Linked DNA regions of Xenopus tropicalis. The main gene of each other region encodes a partner of the protein of the gene in region 3 in a complex. Links are inferred from orthologs where the notes say so. Each region holds a gene or a part of one and is shown on either strand. Other genes may lie near its edges.

Region 1 (3,848 bases), on a different chromosome or scaffold from region 3:
AGGGATTGTGGGAATTGGAGAGGACAGCTGAATACTGCTACACTGTTTTAATAATATTTGTAGTTGGGAAAAGGACAGAAATTACTTCCAATAGCAATTAGATATACTGTTCAAATAATTTGCATGTACAGGGAAACCTTAATGGGGATTCAGGTTTGTTAGGCACCTCCCAGTTAACTAAAATGTAACATTTTTCCCTGGCTGTTGTGCATCTTCTTTTGAAAGTGCACCCAAGGTACTTGACTAGGATCATTGGATAACTAGCCAAAAACTTGACAACTTGCTTTAGTCATCTGTTCAGATGAATGCTATAGCCCTATCTGAACTATGCATTCAGTTCTATACTTCTTATGTTGTGTTGTCTTCTTATGTTGTGATCCATAAATCAGAAAATAGATCCTGACTACTGTAATGTCATCACTAAGCACTGTTAGTCTATTAAGTGACCTACTCTGAATGCTCGCTAAATGCTCAGTGGGTGCACAAGCTGCCTTCTTACCCATCTCTGACAGGTTAACACAGGTCCTGAATTTGAAAAGTAAAGTATATATGTACAGTCTGGACTGCAGAGCTTGTCTGCCACATTACTTCTAATTTTTAGCTCTGATGTTGGCTTAAAGCAATTGGGCTACCATCCATGGGGCAAGTTGAGTACTTTGTCTTAGGCGACAGTGAACTGCAAGTTCCAGGGGCAGCAAAAAGCCACTCTTGGTGTCTTTAAGAGACAGAATTCTGGTTATTAAACTAAATTTTGGCTCTTTTAGTGCAGAGAGCTTGATTATGCCCTTAGTGATGCAGCCCATCTTTCACCCTCTCCAATGCAGAACCGCCCCTGAAAGCAATTAAGTTGCACTTTAACTAAAGTTTGATCTTGACAGATTCTTCAACTTGCATGTAAAATATTGTTGAAAAAAAAATTACCTGTCCTTAATTACCAATCTGAAGTTGGATCAATACATAGTATCTTGAATAGTAATTGTGTTTTTGTTGTGCTTTTATGTACAGCCAGTACCAACGCATGCTGAGCTCCTTGTCTCAATGTGAATTTTCCATGGGAAAAACACTTCTAGTGCATGATATGAATCTGCGGGAAATGGAAAACTATGAAAAAATATATGTTGATATAGGTAAGGCATTTTACCAGTTTAAATAAAATTTAAGTAAAATATGGCAGTTTGTTGTTTTAGCATTTTTTCCTGGTTTGGCTTTTCACGCAAAGTGAAAAATTGCGCCTTGGCTCTGGAAGGTACTCTTGTGTGTTTAATGTCATTAAGCTTTTCTAAATTGCTGTCTTAAAGATGTGATACCTGCTACAGGCCAGCCATTTATTGGCTCAAAATTTAAACAAACCATTCAAAAGCATACTATACCAAACAGTGGAAAGGTACATCCCAGTGCCTCATGGTGCCCACTCCTAACGCATTTCGCACCATTGGGTGCTTCATCAGAGGACAATGACTTGGCTGAGAGCCTCTTTAGCCTAATATGGGATCATAACTATTTTATTTCCCCTCACACTGTATGGAGGTTTGTAAGCACTCCAGGGACCCAGCTTTCCGACCTCCCCACTCCAATACCTCTCCTTCAGCGAGGAAAAAGCGGAGCCTTATTGGTAGGAACTGTCACCAATATATAAACCTGCTAAAAAATGTTTATATATTACGATATGCTGATGCTGTAAGTCTCACAAGTCACACATTTCCTCCTACTGATTGATTCTAGCAGTGCACTACAGACATACAACATGGTTGGGTTGTTTGCAGCAGGAAAGCTTCTTCTTCCGGGTAATAGTTTCCTACCACACTCTAAAATATCCAGACTTCAGTAATCATGTGTTTTTTTAAAAAAAAAATTTCAATTAAAAAACAGTAGGCTGAATATACATTTTAATACATTATTGTTGATATTGCTAAGCTTTGCTGACATCTTTACTAAACTTTCTAAACGCTCAGTTGACATAATTTCACCATTCAAAATATATCTTTTCTTGCATGTTCCAGAGAGTAGTATTGCTGCAGCACATGAGAAAATTGCAGAATGCAAAAAACAGATCTTGCAAGCCAAGCGAATCCGAAAGAATCGCCAAGGTAACATAAATAAATAAAGAACTAAAATTATTTAAATGAGGCTGGCTTATTTTGTTGTAAGTGAAATAAACCCCTACTGTGTCTGTTATGCACAGATTCTGATAGACACTACTGGTACAGGTATGGGACCTGTTATCCAGAATGCTCAGGACCAAGGGTTTTCCGCACAAGGGATCTTTCTGTAATTTGGATCTCCATAACTTAAGTCTGCTAAAAATCAAATAAATATTGAATAAACCCAATAGGATTGTTCTGCCCCCAATAAGGGGTAATTATATCTTAGTTGGGATCAAGTACAGGTACTGTTTTATTATTACAGAGAAAAGGGAATCATTTAACCATTAAATAAACCCAATAGGGCTGTTCTGCCCCAATAAGGGGTAATTATATCTTAGTTGGGATCAAGTACAGATACTGTTTTATTATTACAGAGAAAAGGGAATCATTTAACCATTAAATAAACCCAATAGGGCTGTTCTGCCCCAATAAGGGGTAATTATATCTTAGTTGGGATCAAGTACAGATACTGTTTTATTATTACAGAGAAAAGGGAATCATTTAACCATTAAATAAACCCAATAGGGCTGTTCTGCCCCCAATAAGGGGTAATTATATCTTAGTTGGGATCAAGTACAGGTACTGTTTTATTATTACAGAGAAAAGGGAATCATTTAACCATTAAATAAACCTAATAGGGCTGTTCTGCCCCAATAAGGGGTACACTAACACCAAAAAATGAAAATGTATCAAAGTAATTAGAATACAATGTACTATCGCCCTGCAATGGCAAAAGTTATGTGTTTGCTTCTGAAACACTACTGTAGTTTATACAAATAATGCTACTGTGTAGCAGAGGGGTAGCTATCCATATTGAAATAGGGCTAAATGGCACAAGGTTACACTGCAGATACAGCTCTGTAAAACACTATTGTATTCTACAAAGCTTACAGCATGAAGCAACATTAATAGCCCTGTATAAACACTGCAGGAAATTAGTTGATGTCTAAACATTGTGATGGTCAAGGTATGATAAGTATCTCCAAAAGGGGCATACATAGAAATATGTTAGCTTTAACCTACAGGTTTTCAACAGCAATCTTGCAATTTTTTATCCCCTTTTTAATTGTACTTAATATAAAAAAAAAAGTTTTAAAAAAAAAAAATCATTGTCATTTTGTTTACCAGAATATGATGCATTGGCCAAAGTTATTCAGCAACATCCAGACAGGCACGAAACCCTAAAGTAAGTACTCTACCCGTTGTATTTGCATGCACGCCCCTGAAAAATTAAAGGGAAATAAATATATATATAATTTTTATTTTTCTTCAGTTTTAAAGCAGTTGAATGTGAAGCAACAGCTCCACCTGCTGATCCTTTGGCTGCCAGACACAATTGGCAGAAAATTGAGTTAATGAGAAGGGGAAAGTTTTTTTTGATGTTGCTCTGCTCAGAAAATGAAGTTATCAAGAAGTGCCATCTGACATTTCTATGGCCAGTTCTAAGCAGAACAACATCACAAGACTTTCCTCTTCTCACTAACTTTTGCCAACTGTTCCCTGTTCAGCTAAAGTGACCAGCAGGTGATCCTGTTTTGTCAATGAATAATTTAAAAACTAGTAATATATTTAATTGAAAAAATAAGTGTTTCATTTCCATTAAGGAGATGTTTTTCAAATGATTTTGAAAATATATATGGATCTGTTCCTAATAATGATTTCCATTGAATGAGACAGCTATTATAAGTTCATTTTCATTCACCT
Region 2 (3,848 bases), on a different chromosome or scaffold from region 3:
TTTGACAATATACGAATAAGGGACACATTAATGAGTAAACAAAAATAGAAGCATTTACTAATGGATTTAGCAACAACAAAAAACTAATGAAACCGTAAAAAATAGGAAATGGGGCTATAAATGTTTTTATTTATAAAAAGTAGAAATAACTGAGAAGCATGTACAACTCTACATAAACTTCTATAATGCTCTTTGAATAAACCCAAGCAAGCATTATAGGTTCAGCTTGACAAAGGGGTTAATGTAAAAATGTCCCTAGAGGGAGCTTGGGATATACTCTTGACAGGACACTGCAATAAGGCTGGAGGAGTAATAGTGTACAGATGGTCATACACTACAGTCCCTAACCTTTCTTACTTGTGAGCCACAGTCAAATGTAAAAAGACTTGGAGAGCAACACAAGCATCATAAAAGTTCATGGAGGTGCCAAACACTATCAGCTTACAGGAGGCTGTATTTGGTAGTAAATCTTGTTTTTATTCAACCAAAACTTGCCACCAAGTCAGGAATTCAAAAATAACTACCTGGTTTGGGGGCAACAAGAGCAACATCCAAGGGGTTGGTGACATGTTGCCCCCCAAGCCAGTGGTTGGGGATCACTGCACTACAGGATCATTTCACTTGAAGGGGTTGTTACTTAATTTGACCAAAAGCAACAGAGCTAAGGGGTGGAGTGCTATACAAACCAATTACAAGCCTTATTTACAGTGTCCTGTTCCTGTAGATATGAGCTTCACTCCATTTAATCTCATTGCCCACGCCTCCCCCCAATATTTGGAACTACAAAGTAAAAATATAATACTTTTTGCACCTATTTCAACTCTATTGAGAAACAAAAATCATATATTTGTGACAGTAATGACACAAATATTATTCCCACCCACTTAAGAAATACCGGCATAGGCTGCCTTTTGGAAAATCTGACCAATTAGCCTATGGCTTCATGGCTTGGATGTGTATAATTTACCCAAAGAGTCAAAGCCATTTAGCACTGGTCTGACAAACCAGTGGCCAAAATAAAAACATGGGCCTATTGAAAGCACTTTGCAAGGTTTTTTTTTCTTCATATAAGAAATCCCAAATGTTAAAGGCCAAAAAACAGAAAAATATACAGAAAAAGTAACCTTTTAGAAACATTATGTATAACTAAAATGTAATTTTCTACCAGCCATATTACCTTACCCCAAGGGAGAGGAAAATGAAAGAGAAGGGGGGGGGGAAGGTACTGGAATCCAGAATTTGGAATTTAGACATCACATCATGGCCATCAGAATGGTTTCTCCCGGAAATATTGTTGGGACTTACAGTTTGAATGGTTCAAAATAAAAGATCTCACAGATCCCATGGAAACAGCTGGCTTAGAATCACAAAAATAGGGGGAAAAAATAAAAAAGGTGCATGGATTTAGCTACCATTAGTCTTCAAAGCCGCCAACGGACATTTGTTGCTTGGATGCCAGAGGTTTTTGTCTCAGATTGGAGAGTAGTATTAGGTAACTGCCACATCTGGTTTTAACGCAGTGTACGGACCAACACAACAGGACAGAATTACACTTCCAGGGGAGGAACTAAAGCTGAATGCGCTTCCAAATTACACAACTATAGAACAGAGCATCAGACTTTTTAAATGGAACTCTTTCAGGATTCCTTCTTAGAAGGCACATATCGGCAGTGAAGCTCAAGATGCCTGACGATTTCGTGTGGTATTTCGTGCATTTCTGCAACATCTCAGGATATCTTCAGTGCAATGGATTCTTCAATATTAAGTGTTGAAAAATATATATATATAACAATATGCTTGACTCCGCTCAAAGGAGGACTGCTTGTCGTTAGCACACTTTCTCAAAGCCAATAAAAAAAACGAACTGCTTACAAATAAATATTCAGGCACTTCTCCACCAAATCGGTCTTGAACAAAATTTCATTTTTCAGCTATATACAAAAATAATGCTGCTAGGTCCTTGAAGATTTTTTTTTTTTTTTTATTTTATAGAAAAATGATGCAATTAGAAAAATAGTCCATACTGGGCAAAAAACTTTTTACTGTGATTTCATGATTCAAAATACCAACATAAAAATGTAATTAACTGAAAAAAACAAAAACAAAAACACTTCCAGAGACTTCCATTGGACATTTGGCACCAAACTCGAAGGAAGATGGATGCTGGAACTCCACACAGGTTAGCCTATTATGGATACAGCCTTCCTCATGCTATACTAACCTTTACTGCTGAGGAATGTGATGGAGAAGAATGTGTATCAATTTTGCGTCGTTTTTGTTCTGGGGGAAAAAAAGGGGGGGGGGGGGGGAGCTGTTAAAATAAATGTAAATTACACCAAAAAAAACAAAACATGCAATTTGAGAAATCATTCTTTTCCTGTCCTTTCAAACTCATCCTATCCTGTTCTAGGGCTCCTCTAACAAGGCTATCTTTCTACAATAGACCAAGACATCGATAAGCTTTACAAAGTATAATAGGGTGGCCTGGATAGGCAACAGATATATAGAACCTAACAAGTGCACTTTCTACACTTTTGTCATTTTCTTCCACAGAACCTATTTTAAAAAAACTGCTGTGTGTTGTAGGTATCCTCCTTCCTGGAAAACTGTCCAACCTACATTCACTTCCTAATCGACTAATAATAGGCCAACATTTAACTAGCCCTCCTTGAAAACTTACCCCTCTCAGTTTCGGTCATGTCTGTACGGGGAACAGGAGACTTCAAGGACCCAGATACAGCTGCTTTATCTCCGGATTTGGAATTTTCCTTGGATTTGACTTCTTTCAATGCCTCTTTCTCTCTGGAGAGCTCCTTCTCTCTCTCCTTTTCTGAAGGGACTTTGGACTCGTTGCTCATGAGAACTGCCTTCGATTTGTCTTCCTTCTGAGACTTTTCTTCCTTCTTGGCCTTCTCCTTTTCTTTGTCAGCTTTGGGAGTCTTCTCCTTGGCATCACGCAACTTTTCATCTTTGCTCGAACGGTCTTCCTTGGCTTTTTCTTTTGCCTCCTTTCCTGGTGCCTTGGTCTCAAGAGGTGCTACTGGTGTTTTCTCTCGTTTGTCTTTCTCCTTTTCTTTCCCAGTTTTATCTTTGTCTTCTTTTTCTTTAAGCACTTTGCTGCATGGAAATAGTTTGGATTTTAATGCAAAATCTCCTAAATTCTGTAACACTTAAACCTGAAACAATAACTAATTCCTTTATCCATTTCACGAATCCCAAGAGTAGCTGGTCTTTCCAAGAAAGCAACAAACTGTCCTCCCGTTTCATTTCCCCCCTTAACTTACACTCTAATTAAGCATTAATACAGTAATCTCAGCATGACATGGGGTCAGGGCAATTTCTCATTAAAGGGACACTAAAGAAAACATATAAGCTACTTCATGATAGATTCTAATATGACTAACACAGCATAGTTGTGCAACAGCCCCTAACAGCTCTGTGCTTAGAAGTTTAACAGCAATATAATATGTACCTAGAAGAAGCGCTGTTCCCATTGCTTGCAGTCACCTTTGGTGCTGTGCTGGCAGCTTTAGTAACAACTTTTAGAGCACTCTGAGATTTCTCCTTGATTTTTTCTGACAAAAGAAAATTGAGAAACATGCATCACCATGACACCTCTAAATGTACACACAGAATTACTCATATTCAACGGAATGGGCCAGCTAAGAGGATTCATCCATTTAGATGTATTTTACTAATTACTAATCTTTAGTTTAGTGTGTATACTGTATATGTAGTATATGCGCTTTTGTAACATGTACTAGAATGAGAAGTGAATGTACCCAGATACACGATGAGCAAGATAGGGTCTTATAAGTCAGCTCCTTTGCTGACATAGCTTTATAAGC
Region 3 (3,848 bases):
GCTGTACCCAGTTATGGACCCGCTGTATCCCCAGCAGGTAAGCCGGGGGGTATAGATAGTGAGGCCATTGGTAGAACCAGAAAGCACTATTCCAGTCTGCTGATTTTTTTTTTCTATCTTTCAGAAGCAACTTGGAGTCTCCAGAAATCAACAGCATGATCCTGAATGAGAAAGTGAGGATCCCCCCCACTGCCCCCTTCTTCTTCCCTATCACTAAGCTCCCAATACTGTTCCCAGACCTTTTCATTCTCCTCTCTAATAACCTTCCTGCCTCTCCTTACCCGTCTTCACTTATCTTCCTTTCCCAGCAGCCTCCATCCCTCCCTTCTTTACTCCAGAGGTGGGCCTAGCCCCCTGGGTGCCCTAGGCCACCTGGTCGGCCTCCTCACCCCCCCATATGTGCAACACGTGCACACTAAAGAGTGCACACATGAGCGTGTGTGGGGGAGCATTACAGTGGGGCCAAGAGAGTCCTGACTTAAGGTCCCCATACACAGGCCGATTGTAGCTGCCGATATCGGTCCCTTGGACTGATTCGGCAACTTATCGGCCCGTGTAGGGGCATAAACGAGGGGCATGCCTGACTAATATCTGGCCTGAAATCGGCCAAATATCGATCGGCCAGGTGCCCCCGAACCGACTGCCCCATTGCTGCCAATATATGGCCCTGGGGCCAAACGATCTAATTATTATTTTTTTTTTTTACCTACACGCTCCCCGATATCGCCCACCCATCTAGCCAAGCAAGCGAATCTCAACGTGTATGGGGACCTTAAGGGTAGGCAGAAGAAGTACCTGCCTAGCGCCCCCCCATCTCCATCATTTCCCATTAGTTCCGGCCCTGCTTTACTCTAACTCCCCCCACCAGCAAGCTGCAGTTCAACCAGCCCCCACTTACTTACATAAAACCCATTCCTAGTCATTATCTTCTCACCTCTAAATATCACCCTGATGAACTCTGCCCTGCTGCCTGCTCACTAGGGTAACTACCTATAGCCTTACACCACCCACCCATTTTATTGCCCAGTACAACCAGTACCCCAAACCTCTGTTTCTCCCTACATTTACTTCTAAACTCCTCCCCCCTAAACACCTTTATGGAAAGCCCTCATGCCTATTCCTCACTGTTTTGATTTTGTTTCCTTCATTGCTATTTCCTCTCAGGATAACTCCTTGCTCCTTGCTGGGGGGACATGCAACATTCATTCTATGGACTTGGAGAGTGGAACCTTTACGGTAAGTATGGGGGTGTGGCTTAGTATGAGTCTTGTGATTGGTGTCTGTTGCACGTGCTGCAGCCAATGGAAGCCTATGAGCTGAATGTGGCCCACAGGCCCTCCTGGCTCTCTCAGCTCCCTCAGGTCCTCACTGCTATTGTTCATGGATAGAAATGAACCTGAGAAGTCAGATTGGTCATCAGAATAATAAAACCATAAAATCTGCACTGTTGGTAGTTTTGCTTCCTGGACTTGAGGCTTATGTCATACGGGGTGTGGGGCTGACGTCTGTTGTTGTCTAAACACCCACACCCTGCAGCAGGTTCTTCCCATTGCCAAGTACCTTGAACCCATTCTATACACACACCTTAGGGCCAGAGGGCGGCAACTTGGGTGCCTATATATAAATACGTAGTGAAAGGGGGTTGTTCACCTTTAAAATAACTTTTAGTATGATGTACATGGTGATGTTCTAAGACATTTTGCAATTGGTCTTCATTTTTTATTATTTGTTGTTTTTTAAATATTTAGCGTTCTGTTCAGTAGCTCTCCAGTTTGGAAATTCAGCACATTGCTTAGGTCTAAATTACCTTAGCAACCAGGCATTGGTTTGAATGAGGGACTGGAATGTGAACATAGAGGGCCTGAATAGGCAAGGTAATAAAAAGTAACAACGTTTTAGCCTCACAAAACTATCCTGTATGGCTTCCGGGGTCAGTGACCCCCTTTTGAAAGCTGGAAAGAGTCAGAAAACGAAAGGAAATAACTCAGAAACTATACAAAATAAAAAGTGAAGACTAATTGCAAAGGTGCTAAGAATAGGCCATTCTGTAACATACCCCTTAGGATTAGTGACTTTACTAACCGGATGGCACATTTAAGGGATTGTTTAACTTTGGGTTAACTTTAGAGAGTGATATTTTGAGACAATTTGCAATTGGTCTTCATTTTTTATCATTGGTAGTTTTTTCATTATTTTACTTTTTGTTCCGCAGCTCTCCAGTTTGGAATTTCAGCAGTTCTCTGGTTGCTAGGGTCCAATTTACCTTAGTAACCAGGGGGTGGTTTGAGAGAGTGATATATGAATAGTAGAGGGGCTGAATAAAAAGATAAGTAATAAAAAGTAATAATAACAATAAAACTGGAGCCTCACAGAGCAATAGTTTTTGGCTGCCGGGGTCAGTGACCCCCATTTGAAAGCTGGAAAGAGTCAGAAGAGGAAGGCAAATAGTTCAAAACTATACAAAATAAAAAGTGAAGACTAATTGCAAAGGTGCTAAGAATATGCCATTCTGTAACATACCCCTTAGGATTAGTGACTTTACTAACCGGATGGCACATTTACCTTTGGGTTAACGTTAGTATGATGTAGAGAGTGATATTTTGAGACAATTTGCAATTGGTCTTCATTTTTTATTATTTGTAGTTTTTTCATTATTTTACTTTTTGTTCCGCAGCTCCCCAGGTTAGAATTTCAGCAGTTCTCTGGTTGCTAGGGTCCAATTGACCTTAGTAACCAGGTAGTGGTTTGAGAGAGTGACTGATATATGAATAGTAGAGGGGCTGAATAAAAAGATAAGTAATAATAACAATAAAACTGGAGCCTCACAGAGCAAAAGTTTTTTGCCGGGGTCAGTGACCCCCATTTGAAAGCTGAACAGAGGAAGAAGTAGAAGGCAAATAATTCAAAAACTATAAAAGATAAAAAAAATGAAGACCAATTGGAAAGTTGCTTAGAACATATTGGTAAACCACCCCTTTAAATTTAATGTTGAAGAAGTTTTTTTTTTGGTTGCTAGGGGCAGTGACCCTGACAACCAAATAGCTTTTTTTAATTGCATGCCATCAAGAGACAGAATAGGAAGGCTATTCATTTAAAAACCATATTAGGTCCATGAAAAAGTTCCTTTTCTAATCGGCAAAGTTTCTGTAAAGGCAAAGTTCCCCTTTAACCGTCTCATTGGTCTGTAGATGGCGCTGGAAGGACACGAGGATTATATTCACTGCTTGGCCCTGCGTGAGCAGCAGAGGGAGTGCGTGTCCGGCGGCGAAGATGGAACTGTCAGGATATGGGGTGAGAGTGTGAATGGAGTATCATAGTATTTATTGATATTGTCTAAATCATCCTCTTCCTCCTCCTTCTCCTCCTCCTCATCATCATCTCTTCTTGCAGATCTTCGAAATGGGGCTCAGACTCACAAGATTGAAGTCTATAAATATGAGGTAACACTGAGAAATATGAGGTTCCCACTGCACTATCCCTATAAAGACGATTTGGGTGGAATTAAAGGGCAAGTCAACCCAAAATTCCTTATAAAAGAAAACAAAATTCTAAGCAACTTTGCAGTATACATTCATTATACATATGTAGTGGTTTTCTGTTATTTGTATATATGTAATTTCTATTAGAAGCAGTGTGTGTCTGGCCTTTTCGATTCCCCGGCATATGAAACAATGTTACACGAGGCAGCAGCCTGACAGACCTGTCTTTCTGGAGGAGCCAGACCTTTGCAACATTGTTTAAAAAGTAACACCCAGGAGTTCAGCAAATGCTGCTTTAAGTAGCAATTACATTTACACATAACTTTTAAAGTTGGAATTTAATTGAAAAGTTGCTTAGAATCATGTTTT
Region 4 (3,848 bases), on a different chromosome or scaffold from region 3:
TCATCTGCCTAAAGACCCTCTTACGTGACATTTTCAGATTGTGTGTTGCGTGGCCATTTCTAAATTGTATATAAGAATACCCACAGTGAATGCATTATCCCTCTTTAAATTTATAAAGTATCTCGCTGCCAAATGCAACTCTAAATCACATTGCTGTGTAGGATGGTCTGTGTTGCCAAAAGGCTCAACTTTGGCTTGGGAGTGGTCTTCACACAATGGCAGGTGCACTTTAATCTTAGTGGCTCTTATTCTAAACCTGAATCAAACATGGAACAGTAACAATGTATTTGTATCTAAGGTTTATAATAAGTAGGGAAAGTATTAAGGGCTCGCTGAGAATAGGCTTGATAGTGTATAGATTTAAGGTATAGAGCTTTTCTTACATTGTCTATTTTGTATTTCAGTTCCAATTATATTCTTCTAGATGAACAGTCTCTTTGGATTGAGGACACCACCAAGCTTGTCCATCAGGTGTGTGTAACTATAGAGTATTACTGTTTTTATGAGTCATTTCCTACCTGAAAACCAGATGTGATTCATTTCTCTCCCATCATACAGCTGCTTTCTGAAACACCTCCAGTTGGGGAAAAGTTTTCTAAAACAGTGGAGGTAAGATTATAATTTCAGCCTTCTGATCTGGTGAATAGCTATACAGTATTATAACTGATCTAACGGAATCAGAAATGTTGTTTCAGCATATACTGAATACTGAAGAAAACTGGAACGCATGGAAAAACGAAGGCTGTCCAAGTTTTGTAAAGGAAAGGTAAGGCATTTTTTTTATTTTCCAACTTTTTATAAGTTTTTACAATACATGTAAACCATAATACTTACACGGCTTACTTTATCAGTATCTGCAAAGAGAAAAGTAAAACATTGTAACTTAACAAATAGAAATGTCACACACATAACTATAGTTATAGTATTGACACCAGAAATATTCTTCCATATTTTTTTGAGCTTCCTGTATGAATGTTCTTTCCTAAATATTTATTGGAATTGCCATTTCATATACTACATTACTGCTAATTTCTCTCATCAGCTGGGAAATGTTTGGAACCTCCTGTTTTTTCCAATTTCTAGCAATTAAAAGTCTGACTGTATTTGATAATTGAAAAATTACTATTTCCAGAGCTTTGTTAGGAATTTTGTCATAAATGTTAAATAGCACCACTTCCGGAGATAAAACAAAATCTTGTGAGATGAAATTCGATATTAGAGAAAATGCTGAAGTCCAGAGGGATTGGATAGTAGAACAGGACCACCATAATGCGCAACATTTCTCCTATTTCATTGTTACACCTCCGACAAGTTAATACTCTTTTAAAAAATCTTTACTCCAACCTTTTAAGACCCGTTTTCAGAATGGGTTCCAAAATAGAAATTGGTGCCAATGGAGAAGGAAAAGGAGAGTATAATGGATCAATTATGCTTTTTCTCAAATTTTGACTGCAACTTTCAATGTAGGAGGCAAATCTATGTAATTATTCTTAACACCTTTACCATCTGACCATAGTAGTTTATCCCATGAAAATAGTTTCAGAAGAGTAGTTTCAATTTCTACCCATTTTTTTTGTGACTGTATGGATAAATAAGTCTATAGTTTGTATATTGGCTTTGAAGTATTTCTTTAGATCTGGAGCTCCAAGACCTGCTTTATTTCTTTGAAGAATAGATTTGGATACGCTAGGATACTCTTTCTTATTCCAGATAAATTGGTAAAACACATTAGTAATCTTACAAAAAAAAACAAACTGGAGGGGATTGAAATAAGGATAGTACAAAACAAATATAGTAGTTTAGGTAACAACAGCATTTTTATAGCAGCAATTCTTCCCATCCAAGAAATAAATAAGGGCTTCTATGTAATTATTTAATCTTTAAAAGCTTGAATCAATGGCCCAATTTTTCTGGATGTTTTGTTAATTTTATACCCAGGTAAAATGTATAATCTTTCCGCCAGTGAAATTTAAACTGACGTTTTAATGGAGATTGATCTTTAAGTGGTATGTTAAACATCATAGCTTGAGATTTATTCTCATTTATTTTATAGTAAGAAATGTCTCCAAATTCTTGTAATATTTGTTTAAATTTGGATAATCTCTCTTTAGGATTAGATAGTACTATAATAATGTCATAGACATAGTGTATAAACCTATATGATGATTTTTAGAGCCGATTCGTATTGTATGTATTAAATCTATAAATGATTATCTTTAGAGACTTGTGAATTGTATGTATTAAATCTATAAATCTAGTATTATCAGTGGATTGCCTGCCTTTAATAAAACCCACTTGGTCACTATTCAAGACCTCAGTTAGAATATCTTGGAACCCATTTGAAAAAAATTTTGAATAAAATTTTAAATCACAGTTTAGTAAAGAAATTGGTCTCTTTGGTATCTTTGTTGGGTCTTTCCCCTCTTTTGGTCTATCCGTTATTGTAGCCTGTAGTATTTCATCCGGAAAATGGCCTCCTGATAGTATAGTATTAAACAATTCTGTTCATTTTAGGACTAGTAATTTTGCAAATAACTTGTAATATAATACTGGTAAACCATCTGGTCCAGGCTTTTTTTTTAAAGGAGAAGTTTTTATGGCATCTTCTACTTCTTGTTGAGAAATCGTGAATTCAAGATATTTATTTGATCTGCAGTTCAAATATCAGAAATTAATCTATGCTTTGAGGATTGGGTTGAATCATTGTATTATCCTCTTTTAAATTATAGGTAGGTAATATTGAGCAAACGCTTCTGCAATATCTAAGGGGTTAGATATAATTTTACCATTATCCCTCTTATTTTAGATTTAACTTTAGCTTTTGTGGGCACACCATTGAGTATTCATAGAAGTATCATTAGATGAATTAAGTTCAAAATATTCTTGTAGACATTTAGAATAAAACTCTCTTTTAAATTACTCAATAAAGCCTCATTTAGTCTTCATATACTTGTTGGAATATTTTTTGTGGGTTCATTAATATTTCTGAGCGTGATCTGACCACGTTATAGTACCTATGGCAGCTTTCTTTAAGCCTTGGAGCAGTATTTTATCTACGTAAAAAAAAATCATTTTTGAATACATATCGTGAGGATGAAAGTAAAATGTATAATCCCTAGTTTTAGGATTAAAAATCCTCCAAACATATAAATTATGATGGAGTTTAATCTTAGTGAAACCGGTAACTTTTTCTTTTATTCTACCCTTTGTAGATTTTTGAGGTTGGAATTTATTAGAAGTAGAGGTAGTATCTAAATTAAGATCTAATATTAAATTAAAATCTCCACCTATTACAGTAAACACACTTTTGTTTGGTAATTTTATTAAAAAGAGGGGTTAAGAAATTAATTTGGGATGAGATAGGGGCATAAAGATTGCATTATTCAGCTTACAAATCAAATACCTTCCCCCAGGGTCAGACTCTATGGGGCAGATTTATCAAAGTTTGATTTTCGTACCTTTAAAAAGCACGATACAAAAAAATTGTATTAAATACGATTTTTTCGTATTGTGCTTTTTAAAGTGCGAAAAAATCGTATATGCTTCATTGCACTATTAAGTGCTGTTAACTTCAGTGGAGTGCAAACTTTCTTTGACCTGCCCATTGCTGACAGGCTGAGGACACCCTCTAGATCAGTGCTGTCCAACTGGCGGCCCGCGACCCCCCTCTGTGTGGCCCCCCACCTGTCTGGCTGCTTTGATGGCTTACTCTTGTGTAAGCTTTAAATGGTATCAGTACTGAGATTAACTGCCCCCCCTGCATGGTTCCCACCTCAGATTCAGCCTGTAATCGGGCTGTATTGTTTAAATATGTAATCCCCTGTGTTGTTCACACCTGTTAAACCCCT
Region 5 (4,639 bases), on a different chromosome or scaffold from region 3:
CTCAACCTGCACATTACCTACTCCATACCCTAAGTACTTTGTCTCAGTTTAACCCAATGCATATTTCTTGGAATTTGCTACCCAGTCCAGGTGACCTTGCCAGGTTTTTCTGTAAACTACCATGTCCTCCAGATAGGCAGCAGCATAACCCGTATGAGGGCCCAACTCCTTACCTATGAGCCTTTGGAAGGTAGCAGGGGCTCCATGTAGGCCACATGGCATCATGTTAATTTGTTATAATCCATAGTGGGTTACAAAGAAGTTTTGAGTTTGGAATTTTCCACAAGGGGAATCTGCCAATAGTCTAAGGTAGATATATATACACTGCCTCCCCCAAGGAGTCCATTCGCTTATCCACTCAGGGCATTGAACTTGCACAGGTCTATACAAAACCTTATTGGCCCATATGGCTTAGGGACCAGGACTATGGAGCTATGCCAGTCACTATTAGACTTTTGAGGGGTGAGATCTGACTTTCACCCCTGGGTCTCTTCCTACTTTATATGTCTTACCAGGGAGTTCCGAGAACACGTCTGTAAACATAATTTCTCTGGCCACTGTGAGTTGCTGGCCCACGGGTACCTGGGGGCTTCTTGCTCCTTTACCAGTGGGACGATTTTGCCCCAACACACAGGTTCCACAGGGGAGGGCGCTGGTATTAGTGAGGGATAGAAGGGCAAATCCATTCCCGGTAAGGGGATTCCCCACTTGTAAATGGGACAATGCCATAGTGCTCGGTTACCTGCCCCCCCCCCCCACAACTGATTACCCAGAGTTCCACATTGACATGAAGAATTAAGGACAGGGTGTTGTTTATGGACGGCCAGGTACCATCTGGAAATATCCGCTTAATACCGGGTCCCAGCTTGGATACACATTCCTATTGGTTTTTGCTGTCTGCTCTCTGCTTCAAGACAACATAAGTGACTTTATTACATTCTTGGGAATGAGACCGGCTTCTAACAAAGACATTAGTGTGTGCTGCCTAACGGAGACATTCATGAGAAATGGTCCATTATATTAGTGTGGAACATGGGAGTTCAGTCCAGTACCATCAGTGGGTTCTGCTAGGCCTGTCCAGTTGATATGTAAGACCAGCGGCTGTGAAAATAAGACATTATAGAATTAAGTCTAAAAACAACTGGACTTTTCTGAGTTTACATTTCACCACTCATCTGAGTGGCTTCTTCAGAACTGAAGAAGCCACTGGGATGAGTGGTGAAATGTTTTCAAGAAAAAAACTCAGAAAAGTCCAGTTGCTTTAGACTTAATTCTGCTAGATACTGTATATCATGGCCTGGATGAATGGGAATGTTCATAGACACATTAATGCTGCCATTAAGCAGCACATGTAACACAGTTCAGTTCAGGACCTGTACCTCAGAAACAACAAAGTTTTGTTTTTTAGCTAATAATAACGTCAGATATAGTTTAGCAACCCCTACATTCTGAGATTCTGCAATGTAAAGAGCGCAATTGCTGAAAATGAAACTAGTCAGTTATGTAGGTGAGTGTTTTGCGTGCCCATCCCAAGATGGCGGCGACCTCTCGTTGATTTGTAGCGCATTTCCCTTCCCAAGATGGACACCCATCCCGGGCAGGTATCCATAGTAACCATCCACTAAGAGGCTCGGAAGGGGCGGGGAATGGAGATACGTGGCTCGACGCATTAAAGCCGCCTCCATTTTGCCGGCGTAGGGTCAGTGTTAGGCGCCATTTTGTGCTGTGTGTCGGGAGTAGAGCGATAGGCAGGGAGAGTCAGTGCTACCGTAGCCCTCTTGCTTTTATTTGGGGGGATCCCGTCCGTTAGCCAAGCGCACCCCGGACTCCAGAGCCGCTCGGTGAGTGTGAGGGGAGGGGGTACCGGGCTCGGTGCTGGGGTATGAATGGGGGGCCGGGGGTAACTGCTTCCCACGCCCCTGGGCATAGAGGCCTGGGGGGCTGAGAGGTATAGTTCTGTTTATGGGACTGATTCTGGGGGGGCAGGGTACTAAAGGGCTTTGGGGGGCTGGGAGGGGGGGCCAGGGTACTAAAGGGCTTTGGGGGGCAGGGTACTAAAGGGCTTTGGGGGGGGGCAGGGTACTAAAGGGCTTTGGGGGGGGCAGGGTACTAAAGGGCTTTGGGGGCAGGGGTACTAAAGGGCTTTGGGGGGGGGCAGGGTATAAAGGGCTTTGGGGGGGCAGGGTACTAAAGGGCTTGGGGGGCAGGGTACTAAAGGGCTTTGGGGGGGGGCAGGGTACTAAAGGGCTTTGGGGGCAGGTCTAAGCTTTGGGGGGGCAGGGTACTAAGGGCTTTGGGGGGGGGGCAGGGTACTAAAGGGCTTTGGGGGGGGCAGGGTACTAAAGGGCTTTGGGGGGGGCAGGGTACTAAAGGGCTTTGGGGGGGGGGCAGGGGTACTAAAGGGCTTTGGGGGGGGGGCAGGGTACTAAAGGGCTTTGGGGGGGGGCAGGGTACTAAAGGGCTTTGGGGGGGGCAGGGTACTAAAGGGCTTTTGGGGGGGGGCAGGGTACTAAAGGGCTTTGGGGGGGGGGCAGGGTACTAAAGGGCTTTGGGGGGGGGCAGGGTACTAAAAGGGCTTGGGGGGGCCAGGGTACTAAAGGGCTTTGGGGGGGGGGCAGGGTACTAAAGGGCTTGGGGGGGGGCCAGGGTACTAAGGGCTTTGGGGGGGGGCAGGGTACTAAAGGGCTTTGGGGGGGGGGCAGGGTACTAAAGGGCTTGGGGGGGGGCAGGGTACTAAAGGGCTTTGGGGGGGGGGCAGGGTACTAAAGGGCTTTGTGGGGGGGGCAGGGTACTAAAGGGCTTTGGGGGGGTGGGCAGGGTACTAAAGGGCTTTGGGGGGGGGGAGGGTCCTAGCCGCTTTTGGGGGGCAGGGTACTAAAGGGCTTTGGGGGGGGGGCAGGGTACTAAAGGGCTTTGGGGGGGGGGCAGGGTACTAAAGGGCTTCTGGGGGGGGGGGGGCAGGGTACTAAGGGGCTTTGGGGGGGGGGGCAAGGGTTTTAAAGGCTTGGTTGGAGAGGGTTAGTCTTTGGGGGGGATTGGGGGGGCAGGGTACTAAAGGGCTTTGGGGGGCTGAGCAGGTATAGTTCTGTTTATGGGACAGTGATTCTGGGGGGGCAGGGTACTAAGGGCTTTGGGGGGCTGAGAGGTATAGTTCTGTTTATGGGACAGTGATTCTGGGGGGGCGCAGGGTACTAAAGGGCTTTGGGGGCTGAGAGGTATAGTTCTGTTTATGGGACAGTGATTCTGGGGGGGCAGGGTACTAAAGGGCTTTGGGGGGCTGAGAGGTATAGGTTCTGTTTATGGGACAGTGATTCTGGGGGGGGCAGGGTACTAAAGGGCTTTGGGGGGCTGAGAGGTATAGTTCTGTTTATGGGACAGTGATTCTGGGGGGGGCAGGGTACTAAAGGGCTTTGGGGGGCTGAGAGGTATAGTTCTGTTTATGGGACAGTGGTTCTGGGGGGGGGGCAGGGTACTAAAGGGCTTTGGGGGGCTGAGAGGTATAGTTCTGTTTATGGGACAGTGGTTCTGGGGGGGGCAGGGTACTAAAGGGCTTTGGGGGGCTGAGAGGTATAGTTCTGTTTATGGGACAGTGGTTCGGGGGGGGGCAGGGTTGGGTCGGTACCAGTGCTGCTCATGTCCTACACTCCCTGTTTAGAGTAAAGGGGACTGTGTGTTACAAACACGTGACTAACTTTGCTGTGTCCCTTGCAGGTTTGCCAGACTTCAAGATGGCCGCCCCGTCTGCATCTAAAGTTGTGCTAAAGAGTACCACAAAGCTGTCGCTGAATGAGCGGTGAGGAAGCCCCACAGGCCGGGCAGCTGCTATAGCATATGTAGCCCGTGTCTCACACTGCCTCACATGGGCATGCCTCGCCCCGTGCCCACCCCCCCTTAAACACAAAAGTGGGCGCCCGCTGCTGCGGCAGCTGTACCACAGGGGGCCGGGCCTGTGTGTGAGATTGTCACTAGCAGTTGGTAAAGTATAATCAGGCAATGTGATACACTCACTCCCCCCCTTCTCTTCCACACGTATGTACATGGGTCAGAATCTCAGCTGCGGCCTGGTAGCATGTTACCTGCGCTGCGTTACACCCGCTGCCGTGCCCGGGGGGCGACACATGCCCGCGTGTGGTCGCTCCTGTAAGAGGCATGATTCGGGGGTCTCTCTCCCTGCCCAGAGGCCCTTTAACCTCGTTCTAGGGTCTTGTAAGAGGCAACCGCTTTGCTCAGTCCATTCCCTGCATGTGTCTGCTCTTGCACCCCCTCATTTCTTGGGGTCCCCCTGGGGTTTAACCATCCCATTCATGCCTTCCTGTTCCATCTGTACCCCTCTCGTGCCATGGTCTTTCCCGTAACTGGTGCAGTTGGTATTAAAGGGGAAGTTCACCTTTGAGTTAACTTTTAGTATGATGTAGAGAGTAAATTGCAATTGGTCTTCGTTTTTTTTTTTTTTCACTTTTTGTTCAGCAATGCTCTAGTTTGGAATTTCAGCAGTTATCTGGTTGCTAGGGTTCAAATTACCTTAGCAACCAGGTAGTGCTATATAGGTAGGAGAGGACTTAAATAGAAAAAATAAGTAACCGCTGCAATAAAATAGTAGCCTTGCAGAGCAGTCGTTTTTTGGCCGCCAGTCCCCTAC
Region 6 (3,848 bases), on a different chromosome or scaffold from region 3:
TGGTCTTAAAGTTTTGACAGCCCTGCACTAGATCAGCATGTTAAGTTTTTGTAAACCAAGCCTGGCATACACTCACACCCATGCAGGAAGTCTGGCGGTAGGACCCAGCTTGCAAGGGAGTATATTTCTAACCAGTTATAAACTTTGTTAAACCTTTTAAAAATGTAGTTTGTTTTTTCCTGATGTGCATCTTACTTTAGAATTCCAGTTATGGTTAAATTAAAGTGGGGGATGTTTATGGACTATCTTGGATATGCCAAGAGCTACAAGAGATTCATGGTAATAACTACATTTGCATGTTTCTGTCCACAAGATGGCACTCTGTACCTACTGACTAAAGAAAGGTATAGGCTTAAGAAATGGTCTTTTCTGTCATTGTTATAACCAGTTAGTATACAGATAAGTGAGAAGTCATTGGTTAAAAAGTTGTTTTTTTTTAATAAATAAAAAAAGAGCTTCTGCATCATCCTAAACAACTGCCAATTCCTCTTCATCTTGCAAGCTTTGGTAAAAGATCGTATAGCTGCAGGAGCTTTTATCCCCTATTACTATAACCTTTGTAAATTTTCCCTTTTGGCTAGTTTAAAGTGTACCATCAAATGTAATGAGAAGTCACAGAAAATAGGACCCTTTCTGTATTTACCTTTGTTGGGGATATAAAGGTTTCCCATCAGCCAGTACCCCTTGGATGTACACAGACTGTTCAAAGACTTATCAGATCAGCATCCTTTATTCAGACTGCAGCGCAAATGTTTTTCTTACCCTGAAAATACTTTCTTTTCAGCAGACAAGAGTTTTGGAATCATTTTCTGAGCATACGGTTATTTCCCTTAACTCACCCCCTTCTTTTGTTAAATATCTAGGTGAAGCAGTCAGTACATGCCCAGATTTGGTCAGGTGGCTTGACTGATATCAACTATACTGCACAAATATAAGGGAATGTATGTAACTTGGACTGGGGGATATTTTTACAGACAGTTGAACTAAAGTTCCAGTGTACCTTGTCAGTGTGTCAATGGGGCATTACAGATCAAGTGACAGGAGGCGCCTTGTCCGTCAGTTTTGCCAATCTGTTGTATAACTTTAAGCTTAGAAAGTATGACTGCCAAATGGCACCGCCTCTTTATTGTGATTGTGAACCCCAGGACAGGAGGAAACCTAGTTTAATAATGTATATAGTGTAAAGTAAATCTTATTATGCTCAGCTACATGATGGATAAGGACTTAAAATTATTTTTTAGGGTGATGTCCTCTTTAAAGCCACATTCAATCTGCAGCCTACCAGATGGTGCCATGCTGCAACTCCCAGCATCCTCAAGGCTGATGACAGGATGTTGAAAATTATAGTTTAGAAACATATGGAAAGCTGCAGCTTGCCATGCCTGTATAAGGGTGCCAGAAGTACCATATTGGATATGCATCTATTGTAGTGCCACAGCGTTGGTGGTCCCACAGTAAAATAGTATTGCCTGGACTGATTGTCTTTTGACCTTTAGTTAAACTATCTGAACTTGATCCCAAAGAAAATAGCACATATAAAATTCCTTTTGATGAGTCTTAAAACATATACTAGGTATTTACTTCACTGGGGTGAGTAGAATAGCACGTCCTGTCTTCTGACCTCATTGTGCTTCCTGTGAAAGTTGTTAAATCTTTTACTGTCCCATGGGAAAGGCTGCTTCCAGGATTTGGGAACAAAAGCCTCGTAACGTTCCCCCTGAGCAAGAAACTCTTCCTTTATGGGGGTGTTACGACCCACACTTTATGGGAGAGGGCTTTATAATAGCTGACACCACTTCACTTTCTTTTTCTTTTCCTTTTAGTGCCTGGGAACTTCCTAGGAAGAAAATGTGCTTTTATGCCCTTTTCCAGCTCACACGTGTAGTTTTTCTTTTGTAATCTACTGTCCACTTTATTTGTATTTAACACACTTGTTTGCCTCTGAGGCAGTAATACTTGCCTTATAAACACTTTGATATTGATGTTTTGCTTTCTCAAATCTGGCTTCGTTGCTATGTTTTGGAGCTAAGGTTTACTACATGCATGTCAACTTTATTTGTCTATTTCAGCTATAAAGAGAGGTTTAGTCAATCAGTGGCTTTACATCCAAGACTTATCTTTTCCAAAAAATATATATAGACAATGTGTTTTGTAGGAAAGATGGATCTTTCGATACAAAGACACCATTTTGTCTTATCAGTGCTTTGACCTGCTGCTATTCATATATTTTTTAATTCCAACAGAAATGCAGAAAAGAAGCTGGTGAAAATTTCCAGCAGTGCTTCTGAAACTGATGTAAGTAAAATCTGTGTACATCTTCTTTGTGATGCTTACCTGTATATGTTAAATATGCCAAGTGCTGCCTGTATGGCTAGCACTTATTGAGCTCCCTCTGCCCTGAATGTGACCAAGTGTTAGATTCACAACACAGTTCTTGTTTTTAATAGAGTTTTCTGCACAGTGGAGGAATTTACAGTGCAGCTGTGTTATACACAGGTTGGACAGATAACCCAGTTAGTAAGTAGCACACAACTGCTACAGATTTGTCTGTGGTAATCCCTCCATAGTTTTAATATAAAGGGCGGTGGTATATAGGTTGAGTGTCATACAATACATTTCTCTGTCAGCAGACAAAGTGCTGATACTATGTAGTGCTATTTTACACTGGCAGAAACAACAAGGTATGTATGTCTGCTTTTTCCAAGCCTGATATTTATTACCTTAAACGTCTGAGCTTATTGATTAATAGTTGTCTGTAGCACCAACTGTTTTGGACGTAACCATTAACAAATGTTCTGCTTTTACAGAAGCTTCAAAAAAGAGCTGAGAGGTTCAATGTTCCTGCCAGTGTGGACAGCAAAAAAGCAGCTCGAGCCATCCGGTAAGCATTGAAATACTGATTTAAACAAAGGTTACCATGTTATTATTGTTACTCTATTCCTCATCTTTCTGTTCAGGCCCAAGTAAAAAAAAAAAAAAAAATATGGATACCAGTTGCAAATCACGTTTGAATGTCCAGTGTCAACATCATACTAAAAGTTAAAGATGAACATCCCCTTTAAGTAGAAAAAATGCTAACATTTCACATCTGTTAGAGTGGATGTGAAATATTAAAATTCTAAACTGAAATAGGTCTCGTATATCTTTTTTTCTTACACTTAATTTTTTTTTTTTAAAGGTTTGGCCTTTCAACCTCAGACAAGAAAGGTAAGAAAACTGGGTGTTCTGTATGATTAAACCATTTCTTGGGCAAAATAATGTGAGAATATGTAGTAGATTCTTGTATACTTGTTTCTGATTGGCTGCATTTATTATTTTTTTACCTATTCAAAGTGAAATGCCTTCCTTCAGGCTAATTATACAAGTTCTTAAAAATCTTTTAGAAATCATATCATCATTGAAGTGTTCAAAAAAAGTGTATATTGAAGATACCAGACATACTGTTTACAGAGAACGCAGTGTTTGTAGCATAAAAACAGTGTTACCCTTCCACCTCATTACATTTTCTATTTACAGAAGGGAAACATCATTAACTGACCAATGCACGACTTGGCTCTGCAACATTGCCAACATTTAGTTTTTGTACATTTAAGGAAACCTAATCCTTAGACACTTTACATTCTGGTTTGGTCCGGGCAACCCTGATTGTGCTTTTGGTGGGGATTGCTTGGTAATGAAAATAAGACCTTATAATTCCTGCTTGATAGTGCTTGTGTCTGCCATTGCAAAAAATATGGAAAGCGGTGGCTGCAAGGTGGGCAGCAAAGAGCCCAAAGAGTATTAAAGTTTAAAACAAAAAGAAAACTTTTTTTACTTTGGTACCTGTACTGCATTTGGCCTCTGTATAA
Region 7 (3,848 bases), on a different chromosome or scaffold from region 3:
CTTTTAGTACCAGGTTCACCTCATATTTTTAGAGAACTTTATGGAGTAATTGCAATCCAATGCAAATCCCCAAAATGGCCATCTGCTCAAGAATCATGTCAGTTTATAAAGTGAAAAGATTTTACTCACTAGATAATCCTCATAGGTGATGACATTCCACTTTGTCAGTCGAGATATAACCTTGGCTGGGAAAAGAGTTTGGCACTCCAAAGATACAGGAATGCTACCATGTTCTGAAATACCAAAGAAATGCTGTCATTGGGATCTATTGCCTGTAAACACCTGCTGTGTACACTATTAAAGAAATCCTACATACACATCCAGTAAAATAATAGTTTTATACAATGTAAACCCCTCACAATCCCACCCATTCACCATTTAGTATACCCTAAATATACTTTGTATCTCCTCCAACTTCTGGTTTTGCCAGTTAACACATCACTACATCTTGTCCTATATTGGTGTCCCTGTAACCTAATATGCCCACCAATGCCAGCAGCTAAGGCAGAATACGTTGTGTGGAAGCTACAAAGGAGATTCAGGGACATCAGTGCTATTTGTTTCTATACTGTTTTCATGCAACTGAACACATATCCCAATTATACTTAAGCAAATGGAAAAACTGAGCTAAGACTTAAAAAAAAATAAAATAAATAAAAAAAGTACTTACCCAAGGAGGCAAACTGCCGGTGCAAAGACAAGCGTGAAAGCAATCTGGCTCTCAGCAAGTTAATAGTCTTCTCCATGTGACTAGCACTGAGAGCATTGTCTGCTATGACTGCAGGCTGTAGAGAAAATGGCAGAGATAAATGTTGGTATGAGAGAACTCTAGGGAATTGTTAGTATAAGCATGTGTATTTAGGTACACTATAAAAATGGATAACTTTAGAAGTTATAGTTATTGATGCAGATTTCAAAAACACTATAATCCCCTTGATAAAGGATTTTAATGCAAAATGTCAAGGTTTCTCATTGCCATACATCTGATTTTGCAGTCTTTTGGAATGCAGTTGTTACACTGTATAGGAAATCTTTATGATCTAGGAACAGCTGCCCAAAAGAAAGGCAAAGCAGCTGAAATTAAAAGATGAAGTCTGCTTATTTTTTTACCTGCGGCTGATCCGTTGGAAAATGAAGTCCTCCCATTGTTTGGACCCATATATATGGGTGTCCCAGTTCAGATATATAGTCATTAAGGGACAAGATTCTGCAAACAAAATATAAATATATTATTTCACCTGTCTGGCATGCAGCCTCCATTTATTACCTAAAACTAGACTTGCAGTTTATCATGACAAAAAGCAGACTGTACAACCGACACCACCATTAATATAAAAGTTTTAGTTTCATAGATAACCAAGTACTTTATAGGATACTATAAAGCCTGGTGAGCAGCAGGTAGCCAGGGGAGGTTATTATTCCACAGACTGAAAGAAAACCACTACTGTTAAACAGGAAGACTATTTCCCCACACCACTTTAGGGTTGGGGAATTACCTCTTACTACACACAATCCAATCAGTATGTACTGATGTAATGTGTAAAATGGAAACAAGGCAGAACTAGGTAACAGAGGAAAATTCCAACAGAAGAACCAATGTGGTCAGTAGAAAGCCCCGTGTCTCACTACAGAGAAACATATTTAACAGTATCAAAAATCCTATTTTCTTTGTCATCTCAGGGGGACATAAGGAACATCTGGGGACTTAACACAGCAGCCCCAGCAAAATCAGGGTGAAATACAAACTGTGAAAGTTGGTGTCCTACCTCCTGAGGGGTGGAGCTTAACCAAGTATTCCCTGTGCCACCCTGAACTGAAAAAAAGTTAACTTATATAACTTTTTACATAAATTTTAATACATTTTACATACATTTGAAAAGCACAGTTCCCTGGTGTTCTTATTTGTTTAATCAGGTCTATAAAGGTAGTAGAGCCCAGAAAGTAGTTCAGGTTAGTTTCCAGAGTCCAGTTAATGCAGACAGGAGCTGAACCCCACTCTACCATCTCACTCCAAACTCTAGAAATGTTGTTGTTAACGACATTGATTTTCACTTTATCTCACGGCAGTAATAAAATGCAGAACATACCCGATTTTATCAAACTGGTATCTGTTTGCTGGATTTGGAGTGGTCTTTCCATCATCCCCTTGGTATAAACAACTAAGGATCAAATCTGGATTCAGTAGGTCACTTGTAAGGAGGTAAAGAGAGACAAAATATGAGCACAACTGTCTCTACATGTTGAATTTCTCACCTATTCTCATCTATACTGGCTATATTACATTCTTGGTAAAAGTTGGCTCCTCATTGTTTAAAGTTTTAAAAGGCAGATTAGAACTTACTTGCTTCCTTCCTAGACATTGTTTAACAACAGAGGTAAAGTTTTCACAGGTTATTTTCTGACCAAGTTTTTAGTCATCAGCTGCAAATAGAGAGGCTCAACCCATTGTACACTCATTAATTCAGGTGCTTACACTGGAACACCTTGTACAAATTTGCAAAAAAAGAAATCCAGCGGCAAATAGTTGCTATGTAAAAAAAGTTTTACTTTATACATAATGGTCAAGCAACATAGTCAAAGGCTCGATAAAGGGCCCAGTTGGGCCCAAACGTCGCTTGACCTATGTGGGCTAAATAAAACTTTTTTCATATTGCAACTATTTTCAGAGTGCCACTAGATTTTTTTTTTTTGCAAGTTTTCAGTCTCCAACCCTATACCTGTCTCTAACTGTACTTATGGTGGTGGAATACTGTGCGTGTCTTACCCAGCAGAAATGGCAGTAGAGAGTTCTAAAGCTGGCTGAATTTTGACTTTTACGGTCAGGATGTTGAGGTTCATGAGAAAGTAAAAAGTCAGATTCAGAGTGCTTCCTTCTGTAAAGATTAATTAAAAATTTGCAACTATAAAAAACACTGAAATCACTGATCATGCCATTCAAAAAGTTTTTTTTTTTCTCAACTATGGCTTACCTTTGCACTTCAATGTTAGGGTGACACAAAGAGGATGCCTTTTAAGCATTTCCTTCCTCTTGTCATCTAACTGAACTCCAAGTGTTGGGCGTCGTCGCTTCTAAAATTTAACAAATAAAAAAAATTGATTTTTTTTTTTTTTTTTTTCCCAAAGGTCATCCTATGCTTAAATTACCAACCTTTCGTGTGAATAGTGCTTTAACAGGATTGCATCAAAGCTGGTAGTATATTCTGAACACTGCTGAAAATGCCTACTAAAAAACTACAAACTAAAACAAAACTATCTACCTTTGGGAAAAAAACATCTAGAGCCAAGTTCAACCAACTGTAGTTAAGTAATTAGTTTGTTGATTCTCCTTTTCACTAAATGGTAAGAATATCTCATTAGTAACTAGCTTGCTGATCCTCCTATTGACTAAATGAACAAAACAGTTAGGAGTGGCAAAACCTGACAGCGTGCATGCATGGTTTTTATATAAAAATAAAATACAAGTGCAATCAAGTGCTATTGTGTTTAAAATGCGACAGGATAAAAATGACAAATCCCAATAATGATTAGGTATAGCTTTTACCACTAGGAGATAGAACAGAAGAATAGAATAGAAGAAGTTGCCAAGACAAAGAAGAATCCAGCAACTTAGGCTAATGGCACGACAAATGTAACCTACACCTGTATGTGTAAAATGACAGGAATGAATGCGATCCAGCTATCACTGCACACAAGGGGCAGATTTAGGCCAGAAAATGCAGTGTGATTAAAAAAAGATTTCACAGTAAGAAATACAATGCACTTTTCTCTCAATTGGATACAATCAGATTGTAGTACACAGGAACCACATGAACAACACAAAAACGTTCTTTAAAGATAAATGGGAGGAA

The links.
Region 1: the proteins of thoc6 (region 3) and thoc7 are in contact, whole or in part, in a cryo-EM structure (PDB 7APK), measured with the Homo sapiens proteins. The link is inferred for Xenopus tropicalis from reciprocal best matches to the Homo sapiens genes THOC6 and THOC7. Residues at the interface, in NP_001334633.1 of Homo sapiens: Asp229, Trp232, His245, Thr252, Gln268, Asp269, Gln284, Leu285, Ser286; in NP_079351.2 of Homo sapiens: Lys110, Arg113, Lys114, Gln117, Glu118, Ala121, Leu122, Val125.
Region 2: thoc6 (region 3) and thoc2 share a complex: the UniProt entries of both Homo sapiens proteins name them as parts of the transcription/export (TREX) complex. The link is inferred for Xenopus tropicalis from reciprocal best matches to the Homo sapiens genes THOC6 and THOC2.
Region 4: the proteins of thoc6 (region 3) and thoc1 are in contact, whole or in part, in a cryo-EM structure (PDB 7APK), measured with the Homo sapiens proteins. The link is inferred for Xenopus tropicalis from reciprocal best matches to the Homo sapiens genes THOC6 and THOC1. Residues at the interface, in NP_001334633.1 of Homo sapiens: Leu57, Ser58, Ser59, Glu60, Pro312, Glu313, Lys315, Thr330, Asn331, Gly333, Tyr334, Ala336; in NP_005122.2 of Homo sapiens: Ser227, Pro229, Ile230, Asp231, Tyr232, Leu234, Arg236, Val270, Ser273, Tyr274, Asp309, Leu312.
Region 5: thoc6 (region 3) and chtop share a complex: the UniProt entries of both Homo sapiens proteins name them as parts of the transcription/export (TREX) complex. The link is inferred for Xenopus tropicalis from reciprocal best matches to the Homo sapiens genes THOC6 and CHTOP.
Region 6: thoc6 (region 3) and sarnp share a complex: the UniProt entries of both Homo sapiens proteins name them as parts of the transcription/export (TREX) complex. The link is inferred for Xenopus tropicalis from reciprocal best matches to the Homo sapiens genes THOC6 and SARNP.
Region 7: the proteins of thoc6 (region 3) and thoc5 are in contact, whole or in part, in a cryo-EM structure (PDB 7APK), measured with the Homo sapiens proteins. The link is inferred for Xenopus tropicalis from reciprocal best matches to the Homo sapiens genes THOC6 and THOC5. Residues at the interface, in NP_001334633.1 of Homo sapiens: Val5, Pro6, Ala8, Val9, Pro10, Leu11, Gly12, Gln13, Val16, Phe17, Leu20, Gln21, Leu23, His24, Met25, Thr26, Phe28, Tyr45, Tyr80, Asp94, Glu125, Val126, Pro127, Glu128, Asn130, Gly146, Tyr170, His172, Glu188, Trp222; in NP_001002877.1 of Homo sapiens: Pro406, Gly407, Asp538, Ile539, Val540, Asp541, Ala542, Gly543, Leu544, Ser575, Ile576, Ser593, Asp596, Arg599, Glu602, Gly603, Asn606, Val607, Tyr609, Arg660, Phe662, Arg663, Gly664, Pro665, Ser666, Arg667.

The regions. Positions count from the first base shown.
Region 1 is NC_030680.2:145,037,541-145,041,388, forward strand, and holds part of thoc7 (THO complex subunit 7 homolog), read left to right. Parts: intron 1-1,005; coding exon 1,006-1,127; intron 1,128-2,000; coding exon 2,001-2,087; intron 2,088-3,272; coding exon 3,273-3,330; intron 3,331-3,848. UniProt on the Homo sapiens protein: Component of the THO subcomplex of the TREX complex which is thought to couple mRNA transcription, processing and nuclear export, and which specifically associates with spliced mRNA and not with unspliced pre-mRNA.
Region 2 is NC_030684.2:48,806,847-48,810,694, forward strand, and holds part of thoc2 (THO complex subunit 2), read right to left. Parts: intron 3,576-3,848; coding exon 3,473-3,575; intron 3,118-3,472; coding exon 2,681-3,117; intron 2,281-2,680; coding exon 2,222-2,280; intron 1-2,221. UniProt on the Homo sapiens protein: Component of the THO subcomplex of the TREX complex which is thought to couple mRNA transcription, processing and nuclear export, and which specifically associates with spliced mRNA and not with unspliced pre-mRNA.
Region 3 is NC_030685.2:12,483,139-12,486,986, reverse strand, and holds part of thoc6 (THO complex subunit 6 homolog), read left to right. Parts: coding exon 1-37; intron 38-124; coding exon 125-173; intron 174-1,164; coding exon 1,165-1,236; intron 1,237-3,188; coding exon 3,189-3,291; intron 3,292-3,390; coding exon 3,391-3,440; intron 3,441-3,848. UniProt on the Homo sapiens protein: Component of the THO subcomplex of the TREX complex which is thought to couple mRNA transcription, processing and nuclear export, and which specifically associates with spliced mRNA and not with unspliced pre-mRNA.
Region 4 is NC_030682.2:108,273,422-108,277,269, forward strand, and holds part of thoc1 (THO complex subunit 1), read left to right. Parts: intron 1-404; coding exon 405-471; intron 472-558; coding exon 559-609; intron 610-695; coding exon 696-766; intron 767-3,848. UniProt on the Homo sapiens protein: Component of the THO subcomplex of the TREX complex which is thought to couple mRNA transcription, processing and nuclear export, and which specifically associates with spliced mRNA and not with unspliced pre-mRNA.
Region 5 is NC_030684.2:144,107,698-144,112,336, forward strand, and holds the start of chtop (chromatin target of PRMT1 protein), read left to right. Parts: upstream 1-1,731; 5' UTR 1,732-1,841; intron 1,842-3,711; 5' UTR 3,712-3,728; coding exon 3,729-3,793; intron 3,794-4,639. UniProt on the Homo sapiens protein: Plays an important role in the ligand-dependent activation of estrogen receptor target genes. May play a role in the silencing of fetal globin genes.
Region 6 is NC_030678.2:138,198,960-138,202,807, reverse strand, and holds part of sarnp (SAP domain-containing ribonucleoprotein), read left to right. Parts: intron 1-2,243; coding exon 2,244-2,295; intron 2,296-2,807; coding exon 2,808-2,881; intron 2,882-3,178; coding exon 3,179-3,207; intron 3,208-3,848. UniProt on the Homo sapiens protein: Binds both single-stranded and double-stranded DNA with higher affinity for the single-stranded form. Specifically binds to scaffold/matrix attachment region DNA. Also binds single-stranded RNA. Enhances RNA unwinding activity of DDX39A.
Region 7 is NC_030677.2:144,830,039-144,833,886, reverse strand, and holds part of thoc5 (THO complex subunit 5 homolog), read right to left. Parts: intron 3,070-3,848; coding exon 2,970-3,069; intron 2,874-2,969; coding exon 2,765-2,873; intron 2,190-2,764; coding exon 2,088-2,189; intron 1,208-2,087; coding exon 1,111-1,207; intron 786-1,110; coding exon 671-785; intron 234-670; coding exon 130-233; intron 1-129. UniProt on the Homo sapiens protein: Component of the THO subcomplex of the TREX complex which is thought to couple mRNA transcription, processing and nuclear export, and which specifically associates with spliced mRNA and not with unspliced pre-mRNA.